4 linked regions of the Caenorhabditis elegans genome follow. Changing the gene in region 4 together with the main gene of any one other region gives a genetic interaction. Each region holds a gene or a part of one and is shown on either strand. Other genes may lie near its edges. The genes, in order: mbl-1, ifg-1, exc-7 and daf-2.

Evidence for each region.
Region 1: of daf-2 (region 4) and mbl-1, changing one suppresses a phenotype caused by changing the other (phenotypic suppression), as found in Caenorhabditis elegans (one study listed by BioGRID).
Region 2: of daf-2 (region 4) and ifg-1, changing one enhances a phenotype caused by changing the other (phenotypic enhancement), as found in Caenorhabditis elegans (one study listed by BioGRID).
Region 3: of daf-2 (region 4) and exc-7, changing one suppresses a phenotype caused by changing the other (phenotypic suppression), as found in Caenorhabditis elegans (one study listed by BioGRID).

The regions. Positions count from the first base shown.
Region 1 is NC_003284.9:16,977,018-16,981,634, reverse strand, and holds the start of mbl-1 (Muscleblind-like protein), read right to left. Parts: upstream 3,028-4,617; coding exon 2,941-3,027; intron 1-2,940. UniProt on the Caenorhabditis elegans protein: Binds to RNA with repeat sequences 5'-CUG-3' and 5'-CCUG-3'.
Region 2 is NC_003280.10:8,215,576-8,221,752, reverse strand, and holds ifg-1 (MIF4G domain-containing protein), read right to left. Parts: upstream 4,500-6,177; coding exon 4,451-4,499; intron 4,409-4,450; coding exon 4,315-4,408; intron 4,271-4,314; coding exon 4,154-4,270; intron 4,009-4,153; coding exon 2,916-4,008; intron 2,862-2,915; coding exon 2,658-2,861; intron 2,607-2,657; coding exon 1,640-2,606; intron 1,587-1,639; coding exon 1,016-1,586; intron 970-1,015; coding exon 744-969; intron 673-743; coding exon 511-672; downstream 1-510. Other genes in the region: M110.3 (E3 ubiquitin-protein ligase MARCHF5), read left to right, coding at 5,327-5,449, 5,695-5,771, 5,824-5,979.
Region 3 is NC_003280.10:9,574,261-9,582,004, forward strand, and holds exc-7 (RRM domain-containing protein), read left to right. Parts: upstream 1-1,710; 5' UTR 1,711-2,047; coding exon 2,048-2,107; intron 2,108-4,028; coding exon 4,029-4,206; intron 4,207-4,932; coding exon 4,933-5,036; intron 5,037-5,539; coding exon 5,540-5,693; intron 5,694-5,801; coding exon 5,802-6,093; intron 6,094-6,187; coding exon 6,188-6,611; intron 6,612-6,659; coding exon 6,660-6,818; 3' UTR 6,819-7,275; downstream 7,276-7,744. Other genes in the region: Membrane-associated tyrosine- and threonine-specific cdc2-inhibitory kinase wee-1.1, read right to left, coding at 7,705-7,744.
Region 4 is NC_003281.10:3,037,827-3,042,382, reverse strand, and holds the start of daf-2 (Insulin-like receptor subunit beta), read left to right. Parts: upstream 1-1,536; 5' UTR 1,537-1,601; intron 1,602-4,556. UniProt on the Caenorhabditis elegans protein: Insulin receptor-like tyrosine kinase which regulates metabolism, controls longevity and prevents developmental arrest at the dauer stage.

The sequences.
Region 1 (4,617 bases), on a different chromosome or scaffold from region 4:
GCTATTTTGAAATTAACTCGTTTTCTATTAAGGTCATGATTTTTAACTGGTAAAAAAGTAAAACCAAAACTTTTAGTTTAGCGCCTAATGAATTCTATTTCATGTTTTTCACAAAATTATATTTCGCTGAAACAAAGACATTCAGTTTTTCATTTACCCCCCCCCCCCCCCCCATCAAGATCATTTGATCTGGAATCGGCAGTTAATAAAGATAAGAATCGACACTACAGTAATCTTCAAAATAAAACCTATCCTATCTAAGAATCTAAAACTGGAACAAAAATCAAAATCAGTACCTGTTTCCATACCATTTCACCGATGTGAAAAATGGAAAACGGTTTTTGATCGTGCCACTCAAATGAAATCAAACGAGGACAATGGAATGCATAATAGGGGGGGGGGGGGGGGGGAATTGATTCATATACAGTACGCATATATAGTATTACTGATTTGTATATTCATTTGAGGGGAAAGAGGAAGGTGATTTGTGTATGTGACAGCAGACAGGAAGATAGGTAGAACAAGAATACAACACATTTGACTAGAAACATTGAAATGGCGAAACGAAACGAGGAACGGAATATCTTCTCATTCGGTTGCCCCGTCATTTTTTTTCTCGTTCACAAAAGGAGTGAGTCGTGAAAAAAGGTTTTGAGAGACGTCTCTAGAGAGTTTCCAACACCACTTCCACTTTCTAATTATGCACTCATTGTTTTGCTAAGCTGTTGCAGAAAATTTTGTGGTAGGATTATGAAAGGATCATTATGACTCAAATTGCAATTCTTTGATGGTAAACTAAACTGGATTTGGCTAAAAAATTTTAAATGATCGAGTAGCTTTCAGAAATCGTCCAGCAACACAATGTCGCAAAAAGGAAAGAGCAAGTTCAAAAACCTTTTTCAAAATGATTCCAAAAGTTTTCATGTTCGTTTTCAAGTTTTGTCGTAGATTCTCTTAATGCATTAGTACGGACCAAAATTAACTTCAGCTGCGCATCACAGAAAGTTATGCACTATGTCAGCGCAAATTCGCTCTACGGACCAAATCCAATTATTTATGAATTTATAGAAAACAGTACAAAAACTTTTTGTTAAAAGTTTTGCTAAAACAGTTTCTTAAGGTTTTCGAGTCAATTTACCGGGCGTTGGCTAAAAGTCTAACTTGCGGAGACGCAGTGAACAGTTTTTCGTGGCACTTTCATGATCAGTTGAAAAACACTAGCTTAACAGTCCATTGATTCTTGTATAAATGCTAATTTAGAAGAAATACAAATTTTGGACCATGGATTGACTCTACTCTTTTGAATCATTACTTTATATCTCGGTTCATTTTAAAGATATCAATAATTTATTAACTACGAAAGAAAAAGAACAAACAATTATTCTGTTAGTTAACAAATTTTGAATAGAACAAACGATAGCTGAGATATAAGCTGTCAATGTTAAACAATGGGGTGCAATACTAATAGAGCACATATGGTAGCAAAATTTTTTTAACTGGCAAATTAATAGGTTTCCGTTTTTAAACAGTTATTATAAAAACACATTGTCAACTATTTTAGCCAAAGAAAAGACGCACCCGTTACAAACTTAATTTAACAAATGAATAAAAAACTAGCTTTTCGTACACAAAATTAGAATGACTAACGATGCACTATATATCAAAGAAAGAAAGTTGAGGGGTACCGACAGATGTATATTGGAAAAAAAAGTACAGTTTGTATTGTTGGAATGTTACGTTTGTGGACAGACAAAAAAATGTCGTGCTCGACGTCAAAGCAAAACATTTTCTTTCATTTTTCTCCTGTGAAAAATTTCAGGTAAATGCAGAGAGAAAGAGATAAAAAAATAGCGTTTTAAATATGTAAAGATGTATGGGATATTTTGAAAGTGCTGATACTGTTTTTAATAATTGAAAATTGTCTGAAAATTGCTCTGAAAAATAGTGAAGTACTTTTCTAATAAAACGCATAAAAGTCATGCATAAAATTGTCATTCATAGTGTTGCTCAATAGCAAGATCAGAAAATTTGTTGAAATAAGTCAATCACACATTTAAAAAGTAGTGATTGTTAACAGTCAAACTTTCAAAATTTTCGGACCAAAAATCAGGCTCGAGAATATGTTTTCAAAGGTTTTCAAAGGTTTTTTTTTTTATTTTAGCATTATAGCAGTTTAATTAATTTTCCTTACTGACAAAATTTTGCCTTTAAACCTAATAATAGAAAGCGATACAAAGGCAAGTGCATATTCATAGTACCAATTCGTGCAGTTACTTCTTAGTAACTTTAGTATCAAAAAATTAAATACTAAAATCAAAATAATAGATGAAGTACGGCAAGTTGAAAATGATTAAAAACCATTCCTGTAATCCAAAAGTTACTAAATATGTAGCAAAACTATTTTTAAATAAAATTTTTTATTTCGAGTCTAAAAATGTTGGAAACTTATCTTCTATCAATTTTTAGAAGTCGAAGAAGAATTTTTAGAAAAAAAATTCCTACGAATTTTGTTTTTTTTTTGCGGAAATTGTTGCAAATCAATATTTAAATACGGTAGGGATTCGAATATGCGGATTCAAACATGTGAAAGTTTTCTCAAAAAATCTCAAACTTTTCTGTAATAGCCATTTTTTGACTGTCAATAAATCATTCTCAAATAAAACATTGTTTTTCTATGATAATTGGCTATTTTTGCCAACATTTCAGTAGTTTCAACATTTTTTTCCACTGATAATAGTTTCAAAAGTACTGATGTAAACTTTTTTTGACATTTAGCTGTTACACCAGGAAAGACAATCATTCTTCAAAATTAAACAAAACTATATGTTTCGATTGCCCTTTTTTCTTTTCTACATGTGCGCAACACCTGGTGCTCTGTCAGAACGTACACTTGTGCCGCAACCTTTCACGTATGTTTGACTAAAAAAGTGATTCACTCACAGTTTCTTGGTCGATTCGAGCCTTCTTGAACACCGTCCCCTTCTTATTTTGTCGCCTGATACGTCTTTTTAAGGATCTACGAGACATTGCTGAAATTGAGAGGAAGATTGATTAGTCATCAGCAGCCAACAATAACCAATGGATTTGTGGAGTTGCTCGAAAAAATGCTCGTGATTATATTTTCTCGTTGGGGGACGTGAAAAAAGCACTCTTTGCGTTGTAAACTCTTATGTGATAGATATGTGATAAGTTTTAGCGGTATGTAGGGTAGGAGGGAGGCAACGAGAATAATGGGACGTTGGGAGTAGACGATGAAAAATGATAATGGAATTTTCAAGAGTTGAGAACACTTAAAACTACTAACAAGATTAAATGGGTTTTTTTGGCGGAAATTGGGTAAGTTTTTGAAAACTTGAGATTTTTAACAACGACTAATTTTTAAAGATATTCAGACTTTTGGAAGAAACTTATAATGTTTGTAAGATAATCTTTGAAATACATAGGCTACCACAAGAAAATTGATTTCATTTTTAGTGAAGCATTTGTTGAAGGGCCATTTAAAAAGGTTATTTCCCAAAAAAAAACTACATATTTGAAAACTTTAAACAGATTGATGTTTTTATTTTGCAAGATGTGTAATAGTGTATTCTATACTAATAGAACTGATATATATATTAGAGATTGTAAGAATGCTTTCTGAGCATTCTTACAATTTTGAATGAAAAATAAAAAAATAAAAATGATGTTTGCCTGCAAAATTCTGCAAAAAAATTTGCCGTTAAAAAAATGAATTCGAAAGTTAATTTCTCAGCATACACAAAGACCGAAAATTAAATAATTTTTTGAAACTCGAATTAATTTTTCAAATCAATGGTTCCTGTTTTTATACAGAACAAATGCGAAACTTCACAACAAAAGTACACAATTTAAAAACCAAAAACCTGATGTTTCCCAACTGGGGGAAGTGTATGCCTGTCTTCGGCTGATTTATGACTTGACAACGTGTGTGCGCTACTTGCTCACACGTTGTATTGAAACGTGACTTCAGAATAGACACAAGGAATTAATCAGCGCATAACACAGCTATTATGGAATGATGATGAAGTTGAAGGTGGAGTAGCGTAAATGAAAAACTTGTTTTAAAGTACCGAAAATAGTCTGCAATTCACGATAACCACGAATTAACAATGCAGAAAAGTTAAGAAAAAAAATTAAATTCAAAAAATAAAATATTTTTTTCCTTGAAAAAAATTACACTCAAAATAAAAAACTGCGTGGCGTGTACTGCAGAAAACCTAATATTCTTTTTCTCGTCCACCCACGGAGAAAAGACAAAATTCGGGCCCCAACCAATATCAGGCCGCCGACATATCACGGGTTCCGCCCGCCGCTATGTTTAACTCGCAACGTGACAGCTCGCCATGACCACAGCGAGTTAAACGCTGCGGCGCGCGGAACCCGTACGATGTCGGCGGTCTGATATTGGTTGGTGTCCCGAATTTTGTCTTTTCTCCGTGGGTGGACGAGAAAAAGAATATTAGGTTTTCTGCAGTACACGCCACGCGGTTTTTTTTTATTTTAAGTGTATTTCTTAAATAAAGTGTTTATCATGATGCTCTAAATTATTCCAGTCATTAGCTTGCCTGTTGGTCTGTTAATTTAAGGCATTTTTGCTAA
Region 2 (6,177 bases), on a different chromosome or scaffold from region 4:
CGAAACGGGAATCCAAATGAGGATATAAATATTTAATGATTTGGAGGAAAACGTGATATTTTTAGTGATCATCAGAAGAAAAGGGTAAGGTGGGTGGGAAAGGGGCTATAACGAGTTGATTTCTGCGTCTCGAAACGAAAAATGAAGAGAATCTTCACGTTTCGAGACGAGTTGTAGAATGAGCGGAAGTTTGCAGGAAAAATGATCTGAATGTCTGAAAATTGATTTACTTCAGCTAAATCATGATAATCAGTTATTCATTTTGAAACTTTTCTTGCAAACCTCTAACAAAAGAAAAACAAGCAATAATATCGAAAACCATTAATGGGATACCCAATAAGACATAAAATCGGTAGGGATGGACGCGCGGCGAAAAAACGAAAAACTTGACATGTTTAGACCGTATTATCAACAACTCGTTCTTATATAGATAATTAAAATGGGTTTTAGCACACAAAAAAGTTCTCTATAAATCTACTGTGGAGTTTGAAAATCCAAAAATACGATAAATTAGTTGCCCGTCAAATAGCTCGACAACGTTTTTCCATTTTTAAACGTCACTGCTTCCATTTCTGCTGAAAGTCCTTCTTCCATCTCAGTCTTTAACTTCATGTCCGAAAACTCCCACGAGATTCCTTCTGCAGCGCCAGTCACTTCAAGCTCAAGCTCGATCTGAAAAAAATTAAATTAAAAAAATAAACGCAATGTACTGAATCTGAGCACTAAAATTTGCAATAACTCACCAATTGCTTCAAAACTTGAACAAGAAGGTCAAATTTCTTATTTCCTTCTCCTTTGGCAGCTGAGAAAATTGGCTTCATGTCCGCTAATGAGAAAGATTCAACTTCTCCAATTTCGTCATGTGGAGCATGACTTGTGTTCACGAGAACTTCACCAGTAACGGTCCACAATTTGGGATAATCTTGCTGGAGCTCAACATCATTAGCGAATTTGCAGAAACGGGTAGCTCTGAAATAATTTGTAAAGCTCAATAAATCATAAACTCTTGCCTTACCCCTCTATAAAAGCTTGCTTCTCAGTCTTGCTGACCAATGACATCCGCAGAGCAATAGCCAACTTCTTTCGATCATCATCCTTCAAACCTTTTTCGATCACAGCTCGGATAATCATCTCATAGACTACTGTCAATGACGGCGAACCGTATTTTTCTTTTCCAACATAATCGGTGATAGAGTCAACCAATTCCTTTTGGGAGAGCTCACCACTAGACATTTCTAGAAGATCGGATTTAACGGTATTCATAATCTTGGCTCTGACAGCTTTCTCTTCTTCAGTCAGCTCATCGTCGGTCTTGTCAGTATTCGAATTTTGTGATGTGGATCGCCGCGAAGAAATTGACATTGCACTGATTTCCTTTGCAGCAGCTAAAGCGGCCTGTTTCTCGTCAACAGTCGACTTTTTGCGTTGATCATTGGAATCACGTCGCCCCCAAGCTGATTTGACTGGAACGGCAGATTCGGAAGAAGTGTTTCCTCCACCAGAAGCACCAGAATGCCACTCTTTTTTGCTCTTCCCAAGAGTATTATTATCCATCGAAGAGAGCGAGATGTTTTTGGGTTGAACACCTGGAAATTGCAATTAATTAATATTGAAGAAATATTTGTCTGAAAATACTTACTCGATGAGGCAAGTTTTGTGTTAGCTGCAGCAGCGGCTCTTTTTTGTTCAGGGTGTTGCATTCCTCGGTTCCTATCCAATGAATTCCTGGAGACTGGAACTGATTTTCTGAGAGAGTTGCTGTTTGGTCTGACACCTCCATGACGACGATCACGATCCCGATCATATTGATCACGAGCTTTCTCATTTTCAATCTTCTCTTGACGAATATCTTTGTGAATTTCATCGATTTTTTTCGGTCCAGACTCGGTAGATTTTCTTGGAATCCATTTGTCTTTGCGAAGCTCCATAAGATTCATGATCATGAAACGGATTTTGTTTGAGCAGTAAGGTTTGGCAGCTTCCAACTTCTGGAACCATTGATCAAGGAATACGGTCGTGGAATCTTTTGATTTATCCAACATCACGCCTACAGTCTCGATGAGTTGAAGACCACAGTGAATAGATTCCTCGTCGACATCCTCTTTTTTAATATCTTGGTCCTTGATCGAATTGAACAATTCGAATGTACACGTTTGGACGATTTTTGTGGATAAAAGTTGATTTCTATACAGATAACCCATAAACGTCATAACTCCGAACTTTCTCCGTCTAAATTTCTGTTTCTCCTCTGCAAGCATCAATTCCTTTTTCACTGGATCTTCTTCTTTTTCGATGATTGCCAGTTTGTCTGCATCAATGTCTTTTTTATCCTGGAATGTCATCTGCGTCCGAGTCAAAACCTTATTTCTGAAGGCTGACTTTCCGCCGGTCTGGGATAGTTCATGATTCGCCTGAGCCTTACACATTTCAGCGTACAAAGCACAGAACTTTGGCTCTTCAACTGCCTTGTCAAAGACGATTTCGACAACTTGAGCGAGCTGCGCATCGTTGGAGGATACATTGTAGGAAATGAATTCTTCGGTGAGAGGACGTTGTGATGTAGGCGTCACCTTGTTCATAAGAGACCGAACCTTCTTACAAACTTCCTGAAATTTGGTTTAACAGTTTATAGTTTTGATTAATCACGAATAACTTACAATAACCGCAGCTTCCTCGCTTGCAACAGCTTCCGCGGTTTTTTGACGGTCTGGCTTCCATGCATCTTTCGATGATGGAAGTGTAACTCTCTGAACTCGTTCAATCGAAGGTCTAACAACTGGTGGTCGCTTGTTGTGCATACGATCTCTTTGCTGCTGACCGCCACGCCCGGTTCCATCTGTGGTTGTTCTTCCACGGTATGGCTGAAAATACAATATTGTTTGAATTATGGCTTTTATTAAATAATGATAACTTACAACCTGCTGGCGGTTTCCTCCTTTGTTTGCCCAGTTTGGTGTGAAATTAGGCTTCTTATTATCAGAAACTCGCATCGTTTTGATATCCAATCCGAAATCAGCTAGCTGAGCTGGTGACAGTGGACATGGGGTCCGAGAGAAAACTTTTTCAATTTCGCGAATAGTAACCATGAAATCTCTTCCAAAAGTTCCATCCGAGATGACAGCACTTCCGGCCAGGATAAGCTCCTCGATTCTTTTCTCTAAAGCTTCCTCGCGAAGTTTTTTCTTTTCAATCTCTTCGGCTTCTTTCTGTGCTTTTTCGATTTCCAGCTCCTCAGGAGTCTTTTCTGTAGAAGAGTCAGCAACGTCTGGCGTACTTTCTCTTTCATCATTCTCCTCAAATTTATCATCATCAGTTTCCTCTTTTGATTCTTCCTTTGTCAGTGTTGGAGTAACTCTGACATCAGCTACAGTAGATGCTGATTCTGCAGTTCCACTGGCGGGCGTAGTGGTGGTTGTGTCTGATGCATGGGGAGATGAAACAGGCGTCACAAGGGTTTCTGCTTGTTTTACTTCGTAATCAGCCTTTGCTGGTGCTTCTGGAGTTTTCGGAACGGACGGTACAACTTGTGGAGCTATGGATGCTGCTGGAGGTGTCTGTCCCAGGGCTGGCGGTGGTACGCTAAAATTGGGAAGTACAGCAGCTTGCACCGCAGCTGGGACCGCAGCTGGGACCGCAGGAGGATTATCATGTCGTCTGTCTTCATGATGTAGTTCATTTTTGACCTGATTCAAGAATTCTAAAGTAATGTTTTGTTTTTTCTTTTCTTCCTCTGGGGCAATCGGGGCTGCTGGAGCCGCTGGCGCTGGTGCAGCTGGTGCAAGATGAGGCGTCACTTCAATTGCCTTTTTCGTAGTTGGATCGACAATTTCCAGTGCTTTCCTTTGCCGTTTAGGTTCTTGTGGAGCTGTATGAGTCATCTGTTGTTGTGCTGGCTGAGCTGGTTGATATGGCATTTCTGGGTGGTATTGCTGAGGAGCTTGGTAGCCTTGGTACTGTTGATTGTACATCTGTGGTTGATGACCATAGTCCGGTCGCTGATATCCACCACTGAAAATGATATTCATGAAAAACTGGTAGGTAACAGAAGTAAGCGTTTGGGATACTCATATTTTTAAGAAAATTTATTTTTCAGTGTGAGTAAAATTTTGGAAATGATAAGCTAAATATATTTAATATTTAAAAAAAAACTTACTATTGTTGCTGGTGCTGTGGTGCTTGTGGCGGATAATAGTGATTTGTTTGTGGTTGGTTGTATTGTTGTTGGCCATATTGTGGATACGCCGACTGGTTCATTGGCATTCTTTGATAGCTGAAAAAGAACTTTAGCCATGGAAAATATTTTCAACTTCTTACTTTGAGTTCACTGGGCCAGATGTGTTAACAAATGGCATCACGAATTGTTGGGATGAATCCTGCATAGGAACTGCATTGTGATCTGAATGAAAACCTTGAAGGAATTAGAAAACTGACAAAAACCGTGAGCACTTACCTTGATTCGGCTTCCCTCTCCCAGGCCCCCTACTAACAGCGTTTGACATAATCTTTCAGTTTGAGGAAGTCACTGAAAAGAGTTTTAATAAAATAAAAAACGATAGAGAATAATTAGAGAAGGGGAAATTGAGGGAGGAGGAATAACGTTATTTTTCAAAATAAGAGCAGAGTGAAGGTAAAAGTGTTTTCTCTACAGATAGCAAGAACAGAAAAAGTGCAGAACGCAGCGTTTAGAATATCGATTATTTAAACTGGTGATGTCAACAATAAAAAATGACTGCACATCGTCTCCTTCATACTCAAGAGCAGAAGATGTGCATGTATCGACAGAATTTAAAGAACGTGCACACCGAGAGAAATTACATGGATCGATGAAAACTATAAAATACAATCGCATAGAAGTGGTTTTACGTTTAGTCCGTGTGAATCTGTAAGAACTTAACAAAAATTATGAGTAAATTCCAAAGATATCGCCAGTCAGAACAGAAAGTAAACAAAGTCTTAACCAATTTCGCAACCGGAAATCAATAAATTTCGAAATGCCTGATTTCAAAACATTGAAGAAATAAATATTGATCGAAATTTAAAATTTTGAACCTATGAAACAAAAATCAAGTTTAAAAAACAACAAAACGTTTGTTTTTTTCCGAAAAATCGATATAAATTTAGGCTGAGCCAAGAGACAATGGGTCTCGTAGCGACAAGTTGCCTGCCATAGTTCCAACTCGCGTAAATCGACACAACTCTCCTCTCTTTGCACGCTATTTCTCCCTCATCACATCGCTTTTCAAGTATCTACCAAAGAAATCCGGTTTCCTCTTTGGAAATCAGATTTTATATTAAAAAAAAACAAATAAACAAACCGTTACGGAAGATGGCGTTAGAAATCGACGGAAATGAGCAGGAAACCGAGAAATATTGTAAATTCTGCTTCGGAACGGAAAGTGATAATGCGTTAAGCTTCGTTCATCCGTGTCGATGTCGAGGATCTATTCACGTGAGATTTCATATTCGAAAAATGTTTTTTATGCTTATTGAATAGAAAAATTAAATTTATGAGTGTTAAATTAAAAAAGAGATACATGAATCAATATGCTTATCGAATCAAAATAAATATTGCGAAAATTGATATTAAAATTAACTAGGAAAGTTCAGGAACCTTGAAAAATTTTTGTTATAACCTTGAGAAACTGTTCGATTTTCGCGAATAATTCTAGTTTTTCACTCCAACTTTTTTTTCAGTGGGTTCATCATCAATGCCTGGCCATGTGGTTTTCGAAAGCGAATGCTGTACAACAAGTTATGTGTATTCAGTGCCAGTACGTTAATTAAAGTTTATTGAAGAAAATTTCTGAATATTCCAATTTCCAGAACACGATATCAAAAACAATTAACACTCAAATCATGGAAATCCTGGACAATTCCTCGCTTTGGAATCGATAAGTTTGGCTTGCTGGAAATTACTGTTGATTTATGGATAACATGGAGAACTGTATCCGGTTTCGTTGGAATGATGAACGGAACAAAGTAAGAATATCTGAAAAAAAAACTATCATGGGGTTTTACAAATTTGAACATTGTTTTATTTTTCTCCTCTCGTATTATTAGATGGGAATAGAAAATACAACTGTAACAAAATCCAGAAATGTTCATAAAATGAAACTGAAATAATTGATTAAATGAATTCGAAGTTTCCAAATATTTAAAATTATCTTTCTCCAATTC
Region 3 (7,744 bases), on a different chromosome or scaffold from region 4:
CAAGTTTTGCAGTAAACTTTCGAAAATATCCTCCATTGACCGTGCTTTGAACTTTACAGTCTTTGAATCCGTGATTTGTGAAATCGAAAACCCCTAAATCCGAAATTCCCGAAAAGTCCAAAATCGCAAGGGTTAAATGTAGTTTGAAGTACTTAGTAGTCATTTATCTCAAACCAAAAGTCCAAATGGAAGGGCCATACCTAATTATTGGGAACGGATCGAAGGCATGAAATACTGTATCCTGTAAAAGGGCCTGAGCAATTATGAATCTCGCCGACGCGGGGGTACGTACTCTCATCCGGCCGCCCTCTCCTCTGCACCACTTTTCACACAACAATATGGGGGCCACCCCCCTCTACCTAACTAACACATAATTGAGTCCCCCTCTCTACCTATTCAGGTTTTGTTGTTCATTCAACTGTGCGTGTCGTGTGTATTTGTATGGGGTGGGACGAGAGGCGGTGAAGAAGAGGACTAATGGAAAACCACAATTGAAGAGTGCGTTTCATCGTCGATCACCGTTTCTATGGTAGTTATTTTGAGATGACAATGATGTCGATTTTTTTTATTGTTTCCTAGCATTCCATAGTGACCAATTGCCAAAGTTTTGTGCTTAGACAGGTTTTGGGATATTCTCAAGATCAGCGGAATCCTTTTTTTTTGTTGCAAAATTGCAGAAGCATTTGGATATTTTCTTGACTAGATGGTGCAAACTTGCGATGGAGTGTTTCCAGTTCAAGAAAACTGGAATCGGAGCAAGTAACAGGGTTACTGTAGAATGGTTGATGGTATTCTATAGGTTTATTTAACTCGTTCTTTCGTAGCCCCTACGTTTCTTTAAAAATTCAAACTTCCCAGAGCCACAAAATTTCCACCGGGCTTCACGTATTCCCTCTTACCGAACACCTATTCAAATACGTGTCATCTTCAATCCTTTTCCCCTATATCCTTCACTAACCAGGTCAGTCATGTTTGATCAACCATTGTTTCCACACCTGCCCTCACAAAAATCCTCAATCATGATGCGCTCTTATTCTTTTTTCTATGATGTTGGAAATTATGAAATTCAGCTTTCACACTGTATTCTTGTAATGTCTGGACCCTCACTATACACTTATTCAAGCCGTAATTGGCGTGTATACGTATCCATATAATGTGTCAAGTTCACCTGTTTCCTTCATTTCCGTCTGAGCACATGATCCAAAATCTTATACAACTGAATTCCTTTATATAGATTGTGGAAAGTTTCCTGCAATTTCTAGTAGTTCTTGTTTCCTAGTCTTTCGGCTTCTTATCTGCCTTTTTAAAACTTTACCTACCTCATAATCCGTACAGTTCCCATTTTACCTGTTACACACATACACAGGTATTTAGAAACTAAGCATCATACCAGCAATAATAAAAACAATAAATGTTCTTTTCATTGGCAATGAGATATATTCATGCGTCTATGTAAACCAATAACAAAGCTAATTAGAATTGAAAACAACAGGGAATTGAGTGGCAGAGTATAGGTATGTCATGCTGTGCGCTGCCATAATTCTGCAGCTTCAGTTGAGTGGAGTAGGATTGTGAAAAATCATGGTGTACAACTAGTTCTGTAAAGTTTCACTGATATTAAACGTTTTCCATTTACTTTTATTTCACTTCTATTTTTCTTGCTCTCTGATATGTTTTTTTAAATTAATTATCAAACCTATGAAATTACAGATCCATCTCCCCTAGTCTCGGCCGGCCCAAAACGAACGGAGCATATACGGGGAGCCGCGGCACACAAACATACACAAAATATAAATAGGCCACGCCCATTTGTGCATATTTCTACATATATCCTCGCGACGGGCCCCCCGCCCCCCTGAGCCCCTTTTCCTCTTCCTTCTCTTTGCTCTCACAACAACCGGAGCTCTTTCTTTTTGAAAAGAGCCCTCTTTTGTTTCCTGACAGACCAAGTGGAAGAAGTGGTGGTGTGTCAACTTCAGAAGACAACGAACGACGCATTTTTGGATAGGAAATTCGAATTTTTGAATTCCAAAATTCGGTCTTCAAAATGACGATGGAAGCGTTGCTAACACCGAATAACAACAATGTTCCGACGAGTCCCGTTCAGGTAATTTTTTTTTTCAATTTTTATTAGGAAAGATCTATATGAAAGTCCAGAAGCAGTAGAAAAAAAAAACAAAAATAAATACGGTTTTCAAAATCTTTGAACATTGAGGTCTACAAAAAGTCCAGAAATCTACTCGACTGTAACATTTCATATTTTGGTTGCCTAAGATTTTATCAACAAAAATTCAACTAATAAAATATAGAACCATAGCAAAGATACACATTTTAAAAGTAGAACAGTAAACTGCGGTAATTTTGAAGAGCTGTAAGTTTGTTACAGGTTCTAACTGTGAATGGTTTTTTTATTAGTTAAATTAAAAGTTTAAAAAAAGCTTTTAGAACCTGATCATGACAGTTGTTTAAAATTCGGACTAGGTAAACTGGATGCTTAGGCTCCGTTCAGATCTAAAAGCTAAACAAATTGTTGAGCCTTGAATTCTAGTAATAACCATAAATCTGAATATTGTTTCTTCCCCAATGTCCAATCCGTCAGTGAGCCCGAGTCCAAACTTGGTATACATGCGTGTGCATTTGACGTGTCATTCTTTCAAGAAAGCTTCCCAATTCCCAAATGCCAATTTTTCAAAATCCGAGAAGCCTTCTTCCTTACTCTTCTTCTCTTTTCTCCGCCTTTCCGAACCACTCCTTTTCGAAAATACGTCCCATTCATTACGCCTTGAGGGAGGAATGAGGGAGGAATAAGGACCAAAAATAAAAATATTTGTTTTGTGAAAGAGCTCAGAAGCTCAGATTCCTGCGTGCTCATCCACCTATATTATGATGATGTGTTGTGGTGTTGGTGGATGGGAGTGGAAATGACATGAAAATTAAAATATGGAGAGAAAAATTGAAAAATAACAAGAGAATACTAGATTTTTAGATTTCCTGTTGAAAATTGTTTTCTTTTTTTCTAAAAAGTTTTTTGATTATTGAAAAAATATAGCTGAATTAACAATATCATAATTGTGCAATATATGACTAATGAAATTGGTAGAAACGAAGTTTTTTTTTTAATTTAAATTTCTAGAGGTACTATATATATGGAATATTCTAAAACTCAGCGATTTTCTTCAGTTTTTTTGAAGTGTTTCTTCAAAAAATTGATAGAAGACCTATAAATTAAAATTTAAAAACTTTTAAAATTTTGTGAAAATTCAATTCGAAATCTACTAGAATTTATATCACAGTTTTGCTAAATTACGTTCCTCCTCAATACCGGACGGTTCAAAATTTTATTTCTATAAAACGCATATGGAACTCTTTAATCAAAGATCCTATAAAAAACTCTTAAAGTCTATTCATTCCAACAGCGTAGAAAAAAACGTTTGCATATATTTCATTTCATACATTATTCCCTCTCAAATACCCATGGGTATTGTTGCTCTTCCAGTGAGCACACCAGGAGGTGGGAAGAACATGCGGGGGGCTCCATCTCTTCCATATAGACTTGCTCACGCACAGGAAATTTGAGACGTGGCCAAATAATGGACAGCGAAATGGATGAATTCTCCGGTTACTTGTACCGAAGAGCCCTCCCGCGCGCGAGAAAAGAATTGAAATTGAAAATTGAGATCTCCCGGTGGAATGAAAGATTGGAAATCATAGGGGAAATATTTTTGGGTCAGATGTAACCTCCAAAAATGGAATATATAGTCAGATTGGACAAAGATGGCAGAAAAACATAATAATTTATTTATTCCCAAATGAAAAAAATGAACAATTTCCGGGGTTACCGACGCTTCTCACCAATGCTAGGCACCCGAAAATATACGAGGTGTATTATTTATGTAAATTGACAAAAACGGGACTTCTATCTAGGGAGTTCAGAATTTTTTACATCTGAAAATCGTAGATTTTCATTCGAAAAACCGGGACCATTATACAAAAATCGCTTTTAAATTTTAAATTTATATTTTTTGCAGACAACCTACACAAGTACACAACGATACTGCTCCGCGCCAAATGTGGATATTGGAGAATCAAAAACAAATTTAATTATCAATTATCTGCCACAAGGAATGACACAAGAAGAAGTTCGGTCCCTTTTCACATCGATCGGAGAAATTGAATCTTGTAAATTGGTCAGAGATAAAGTAACAGGTGAGGAGGAACTTCTATATTATTCATTATTTTATTTTAAACTTATATATTTTCGAAATCCAAACATTATCTAGCTAGATCACCCCTTGCCTTATCATTTTTATTTCTGACTGATTTTTGATTCCCAACCACGAATTGAGTTGCTCTAACCGTTTTTTGTGTCTCGCCGAAAAAGTTTAGCATGAAACTAGATTTTGACGCCTCTTTTCTGATAGATCACAAATAATTTTATTTTCTTCTTTCGGATCGATTTTTGTAAATCTGTACATGTGTGCGTGTGTGATTGCTGCTGCCCCGCCCGCCCTACTCCCCCTAAAGTTTTTCATTTTTCGGTTATTACTTTTTTCCGTGATGTTCTGATATTCGTTTCAACTTTTCATTATTTTTTTCAAAATCACTCACACACACACACAATTGTACACCAAGAATTCACATTCACTTTTTGTGCTAAACATTTTTGAATAGGGATTGTTAAAATTCTAAAGTTGTGATATCTAAATACTTTTTTGGAATAGTTTCATACCATTAAATCATGTGAACTAATTTAGAATAAGCAGCAAACTGTTTGTAGCAAAAAGATGTAGGGAGATTATTTTTCAGAAAGAGAGCTCTACAAATACAATCAGAAAATCTAAACCCGTAACCTATAAATAATTGTTCTTTTGTTATATTTTCACACTCTTTCTCTCTCTTCTCTCTTCGGCATTTGGTGTTTTTTCATTTCAGGACAGTCCCTTGGTTACGGTTTTGTTAATTACGTCCGAGAAGAGGATGCTCTTCGTGCAGTCAGCTCATTCAATGGCCTACGATTGCAGAATAAGACGATCAAGGTGTCAACTTTTTTTTTTTTTTTTCGGAAAAATATTATTATTTTTAGTTGATTTACATGCTACTTGTCTTTTACTTTACTTTCACTCTTTTTTATTTTCAAAAAAAGTTTTTAATTTTTCAATTGTTTGGGTGTTCCTTTGACTATTAGAAAACACCCCCTTGCTCCTGTTGTGCAATTTTTGTTTTAAGTTTTCAATCTTTTTATTTTAATATTTTAATTTCAAAATTTAATTTCAACTTTAATTTCGCGAAACCCCTTTCCCGATTTATAATGATTTTAGCTTCTAAATGTGTGTCTAAACGTCCGTTAAACGTCTCACGTCTTTCAAACAATCACTAATAGGAGCAATAGATGTGCACAAAACGCTTAGAAAATGTTTAATTATATTTTTACTTGAAAATTCGCATTCTTCATATATGTAAAAGAAAAACATTCACTGGTAAAAATACAAAGTTAAATTTTAGAATATTAAAATTGTAATCTATAACTTGAAATTTTCAGGTATCATATGCCCGTCCATCAAATGATCAAATCAAAGGTTCAAACTTATATGTTTCTGGAATTCCAAAATCGATGACTCTGCACGAATTGGAATCGATTTTTCGGCCATTTGGACAGATTATCACATCTCGAATATTGTCAGATAATGTAACTGGTGTGTTTTTAAAATTATGTGAAATGTGTAAATTTTCAAAATTAAGAAAAATATAGTTGATTGTTTACGGAATATAATTTGTTTCATTTTTTATTAGAGCTATTTCAGGACTCTCAAAAGGCGTTGGATTTGTACGTTTCGACAAAAAAGACGAAGCTGATGTTGCAATTAAAACACTAAATGGAAGTATTCCATCAGGATGTTCAGAGCAAATCACAGTGAAATTCGCAAATAATCCAGCAAGTAACAATCCGAAAGGACTGCTGAGTGATCTGGAAGCCGTACAGCAAGCCGCCACAACACTGGTACCATTGAGCACAATTCTTGGAGCACCGACGCTGAGAGCAACTGCTGGAGGAATCGGACCGATGCACCATGCTCCAATTACTTCAAAGTACAGGTAAGCCCGAAGAAATCTTGATTGATAATAATTGTATTTTCAAGTTTGTATATTCTTCTTTTTACATTTTCAAGACCAATTTCCAATATTTCAGATATTCCCCAATGGGCGCCATCACTGCAGTATCCCAGCCAACCGCTACACTTCCTGCTGACTATTTGACAACTTCTGCGCTTCTTCAGATGTCTCAGTTGAATGCTCTTGCTGGCCTGAACCCTTTTGCCACAGCAACAGCCGTACCTGATTTCACAGCTTCATTAATAGCGCATCAGCAACAACAACACGCAGTTGCTCAACAACATGCTGCACAAACAGCGAGCCCTCCGGCAACAAATGGACAAGTTGCTGGATTAGCAGCTCATGCTCAGTTATCTGCATTGTCAGCTTCAGTTGCTGCCACGTTACCGCCATCAGATACTGCTGGATATTGCCTTTTCGTATATAATCTTTCATCAGATACTGATGATACACTGTTATGGCAGTTATTCTCACAGTTTGGAGCAATTGTTAATGTTAAGGTAAGCAAGAAATTTTAAATGGAAAATTTTTTACTTGAAATATTTGAGATTCTACGAGACCTGACACAACAGTGCAAAGGATATGCATTTGTATCGATGAGCAACTACACAGAAGCCTATAATGCAATGCTTTCTCTGAATGGCACAAATTTGGCTGGAAAGACGCTTCAAGTAGTTTTCAAGTCATCAACTCCATATCGAGCTTAAACTTTTTTGCAAAAATATTCTAATTTCAATCATTCCAGTCACTTGTCTCCCATTCTCTTTTCATTTTCTTCTTCTTCCCCAACCAAAGAAATTGTGATTTTCCCCCTCTGAAATTCCAGTCACTTTTTGTGTGCTACTAGTCACCCCCCCCCCCCCCCCATTGTGTTCCATCCCCTTTCATGAGCAACTGTGAGCAAAACCAATCGAATTCCGGTAACGAAATAAGCCACGCCCCTTGAGAATAATGAGCTTCTGCCCACCCCTGTCCCAAAACCTTGAATCAGCTTTAACATCTTCAAAACTTTTATCAATTTTACCTAAAATATGCCAAATCCTCCGTCACTTTTCAGTATTTCGTACAGTTTTCTGATTTTTATACTGGGTTCCTTGTTTTTCTTTTACAAAGATTTTTTGAAATATTAAAACTAAAATGTGTATAATAAAAATTGTATACCAATTTCAGTGATAAATAATTTATTTTATAGAAAAAAGAAGAACAAAGCTGATGATTAAAACTGAACTCGATTTTCTGATTGGAAGAACTTGTACCAATCGATGATATGAGATGTTAAAAACTGGAATTGATATTTAACCGATTGAACCTGAATGAAAAACAACGGACCTGAAAATTAAATTATTATTTTAAATTGACATTTTGAAAATTTCCCCCGTAATTTTATTGCAATTTTAATTGAAAGTTTATTAATTGTGAAATGTGCTTTTTAAGATGTTGCAAACACCTAATTACTATTTTCACTTTTGAGATATGTTAATTTCTAAATAACTTTTTTTTAATTTCCTAATTTTAATTTTCAAAAGTCAAAATAACAAACGAATTTTATAAAAGAAAAAAGAGCAAACTTACCTGTTAACTTACATTCCCTTCCTATTCATCAAATAAATTTTTCCGTTGGAATAACTTTTGA
Region 4 (4,556 bases):
AATTGCTGATTTACAGTTTAGGAGTGCTAAATTAGGTTTGCAAGACTTTGTGAATCTAATTTTAAATGTGTGTATATCTGTGTGGAGCAGAGTTATGAAAAACTGTTTTCACACAAAAATATAGCAAATTTTAAGCTCTACAAGTTGTTAGTTAACAACTTTTTATTATCTTTCCTCTTCGCTGAGGTACACGCGTCTAAGTGTGGTGAGTGCGAGAGCTTAGTGCGGCAGAGCCTTACTTACGACCGTTTATCTCATTGAGGAAAGGTGCTAGCAAATAATTCCAAACTAGTAATCTGTAGAAAATTTTAAGCTCTACAAGTTGTTAGTTGACAACTTTTTGGCAACTTTTTTCCCCGCAGAGATATGAGCGCCAAGCTGTGCAAAGTGCGAAAGGTCAGTGCGGCAGAGCCTTACTTACGACCGTTTATCTCATTGAGGAAAGATGCTAGCAAAAAATTTTTCACTAGTGAATTGTGGCAAATATGAAGCTCTACAAATTGCTAGTTAACAAATTTTTTGTAACTTTCTCCCTCGCAGAGAAATAAGCGCCAAGCTGTGCTGAGTTTGAAACCGCGCGAAGGGCAGAGCCTCATTTACGGCCGTTTATCTCATTGAGGAAGAGTGTTAGCAAAAAATTTTCCACTAGTGAATTGTAGGAAATTTTGAGCTCTACAAGTACTTCATTGACAACATTTTTGTAACTATTTCTCCCGCTGAGATACGTGCCTAGATATACGACCTGGAAATTGAAGCTGAATCTCGAATCTCTTCCCCTCTGGCAGAAAAAGTCGAATTTCCCTCCTTTTTCCTGCTATTTTGAGAAAAAAAAAATAATTACGCAAATGGCGCGAAACTTTTCTGACACTTTTCTGATCAAAAATTAGAGTTATGCAAAGAAACGAAGGAGCTATGTAGTGACGTCATTCTCGAATTTTAAATTTTTTACCAAACCTTCTAATTCTTGTTTTTCTCTCTATTTTTCCTAGTTTCTTTGTTTCTTGAATGTTCCCAAATAATATCGGCGGATTAATTGATAAGGATATCTATCAATGACATTGCCTCCTCTCTATAGAAATCTGTGTAGAAATAGTAAAAGTGCATTAAAAGATGATAAACGACCATCAGATTTCATCTTTTTCTATCTTTTTCATGGCGGAAATGTTGTTTACTTCTTTCGGCCTTGTTTTCCTGGTGTTTTTCCCTAATTTCGTGGGGTTCAAAAGAGTTCAAACCGGTCAAATGTCGCTTTTTTTGCAAAAAATATTGGTAGTAGCAAGTGCGCTCCATTGTCAATTTAGAGTTTTCACCATTTTTAGAGATGTTTTTTGTGCATTTTTGCAATGTTTTGAACTGAAAATTCAAGTTTTCAATTTATGAAATGTAGAAACTGTATTTTTCCATTGAAAAAAAGCTTTAAATCGACATTTTAACTGATTTTAAACATTTTCCCGGGGTACTGTACCTGCGAATGTGTGCAGCGGTGTTTGCGTACCCGCGCTTTCGTTTTTGATTTTTGAATTTCGTTTTTCACATTTTTCTTCGATTTTTCTCAATATTCCAGCTATTTTTCACGGATTTTTATCATTTTTTCGACAAAAGTAAGTAATTTTCTCTTTTTTTCCACTAAAATTCCCACAAAAATCGTAAAAATAGGGAGATTCAGGCGGGTTTTTTGATTTTTCACCGATTTTTTGCTATTTTCTTCATTTCTCAGCCGATTTTAGTCTTTTTTTTTGTCTAAATTATCAAATTTAACCTTAAAAATCTGCTAAACCATCTGATTCTTCGCTCACAGAACGATTTTCCCGTCATTTTCCAGTTTTTCCCAATTTCCGCCCGTAAAATTCCATTTATCCAATTCAAATTACGCCGAATTTGTTGCAATAGTCTTGGCACGGTGCCAATTGGATCTTTTCACGTCATTTTTGACCATTTTCAAGGTCTTTTCAATGCACTTTTAGGCTGCCTTTGTGAAAAAATAACGGATATTCGAAGTTTTTCGTGAAAAAAAGTGGAAAATCTAGGAAAAAATCGAGAAAAATAAGGTTTTTAAAAGATTTCAACAGACAAAACCACAAAATTTGCTCAAAAAAGCAATTAAAAATTGAAAAAATTACTTGAAAATATCGATTTTAAGCGATTTTGTTTTAAAAATACACACAATTTTTAGCGAAATCACACAAAAAATCGAGAAAATCCCAAAAATTTCGTTAAAAACCAACAAAATTAATGTGAAAATTGGTTTTTTCGCTTTAAAATTGATAAAAATTGATAAAAATTTATTTAAAAAATCACACTTCGGTCAATCTCTGGGCCATTTGCAGCAATTTAGCAATAAAAATAACGAATTTTCTGATGTTTTAGGCAGAATTTTGGAGATTTTTAGGGAAAATCTCAAAAAATAACCAAAAATCGCTTTAAAATTGATGAAAATTCCCATTTTCGCCAATTTCTGAACCATTTTTCCGCAATTTTGACCAGTAAATTGCAAAAAATATCGAAAAATTTTGGATTTTATAATCCAAAATTCTAAAATTTCAAGTAAAATTCAGCAAAATTTGGTGAAAAAAAATACAAAAAATTACAAAAAATTGGCTCAAAAATCAAATTTTTGCGAAAAAAATCGAATTTTAGCCCAATTTTCTTCGATTTCTTCCAAATTTTCACTCATTTTTCGCTTTTTTTCGCTCTTTCAATCAGAAATACCCCCTTAAAAATAAATATTTTCCAAAAAGTACACCGACAAACGATGAGCAAACAATCTGTGCCACGTGGGAATTGGTTTTTTTGTGTTTATTTTACAAAAAATGTCAATTTTTTGCTCAATTTTTCAATTAAAAATCGTAATAATTTGCTATTTTATAGTTTAAATTATTGATTTTTAGGTTTTTTTGGCGGGAAAAAAATAAATTTGAAAAAAAAAACGGCGGCGGATGGGGTACAACAACAACAACTCAAAGATCAAAAAACGAAACGCGAAAACATTTGAATTGACCCTTCGTTCTTTTTTCTATGTTTTTTTGCCATTAAAATTGAGTTTTTCGACGTTAAAATGCCGAAAATTCGATAAAAAACTGAAAAAATTGAGTTTTTTCCGGAATTTTAACCCCAAAAACCGAAAAAAAAATCCCGGAAAATCCCCCAGATTTCACTAAAATCTCCAGTTTTACCAACTTTTTTTTGTTAATTTAGGTACATTTTGTGGCCAAAATCAAAAAAAAAATGGTAAATAAACTACCAAAATGTGAAAAATTGGATATTAATTAAATATAAATTGAATTCTGGACAAAATTGAAATTTTCAATTGATTGAACCATTTTTCTATGTTTTTTTGCCATTAAAAATGAGTTTTTGGCGGTAAAATTCCGAAAATATAATTAAAAAATTAAAAAAATTATGTTTTCCCGGAAATTTAACCCCAAAAACCGAAAAAATTCTGGGAAAACTCCAGAAAAATGGGCAAAAATGTAGATTTTTTGGGCCATTTTTTGGCCATTTTTTCGCTTTAGATTTTAATTTTTTATCTGAAAAAAATTGGATTTTTATTCCCCAAATCTAATAATTTCCACAATTTTTTGACACCAAATCCTCTATAAAAATCGTTTTTTTTCATGAAATCTATTCAAAATCTGGCAAAAATTTTGATTTTTTCGACCAAAAACACCTCTAAAATGACCAAAAATCAACGATTTCATGAAAAATGACAAAGATTAGGTCATGTGATGCATTTTTTTTCGTTGTTTTATTACATGATATGGAATTGACAGTGTTCAGAATTTTTTTATTGGTCAAAATTTGGTTTTTCTTTGAAAAAATCGCAATTTATTCTGAATTTTTTGTCAGTTTTTGAACGCCGATTTTTGGCAAATTGCCGATTTTCTGGAAATTTTCAATTCCGGCAAATTGCCGATTTGCTGGAAATTTTCAATTCCGGCAATTTGCCGATTTGCCGGAAATTTTCAATTCCGGCAATTTTGCCGGATATCAATTCGCCGGATTTTTTGAGGGGATTTTTTAAATTACGCAAACCCACAATTTACCGAAACTTTCGGCAGTTGCCGTTTTTCCGGCAAATCGACTAGTTGCCGGTTTGCAGAATTTGCCAAAAATTTGGAAAACCGCAAATTGCCGACTTTGCTGTTTGCCGGAAATTTTCAGTTTCGGGAAATTGCCAGTTTGCCGGAAATTTCAATTCCGACAATTTGCCGATTTTCTGGAAATTTTCAATTCCGGCAATTTGCCGATTTTCTGGAAATTTTTAATTCCGGCAAATTGCCGATTTGCCAGAAATTTTCAATTCCGGCAAATTGCCGATTTGCTGGAAATTTTCAATTCCCGCAATTTGCCGATTTGCCGGAAATTTTCAATTTCTGCAATTTGCCGATTTTCTGGAAATTTTCAATTCCGGCAATTTTCCGATTTGCCGAAAATTTAAAATTTTTCAATTTGGGCAAATGCCAAATTTTCCGAAAATTTGAAAAATGGCAAATTGCCGATTTTGCCGGAAATTTCAATTCCAGCAAATTGCCGACTTTGCCAGAAATCTTTCTACC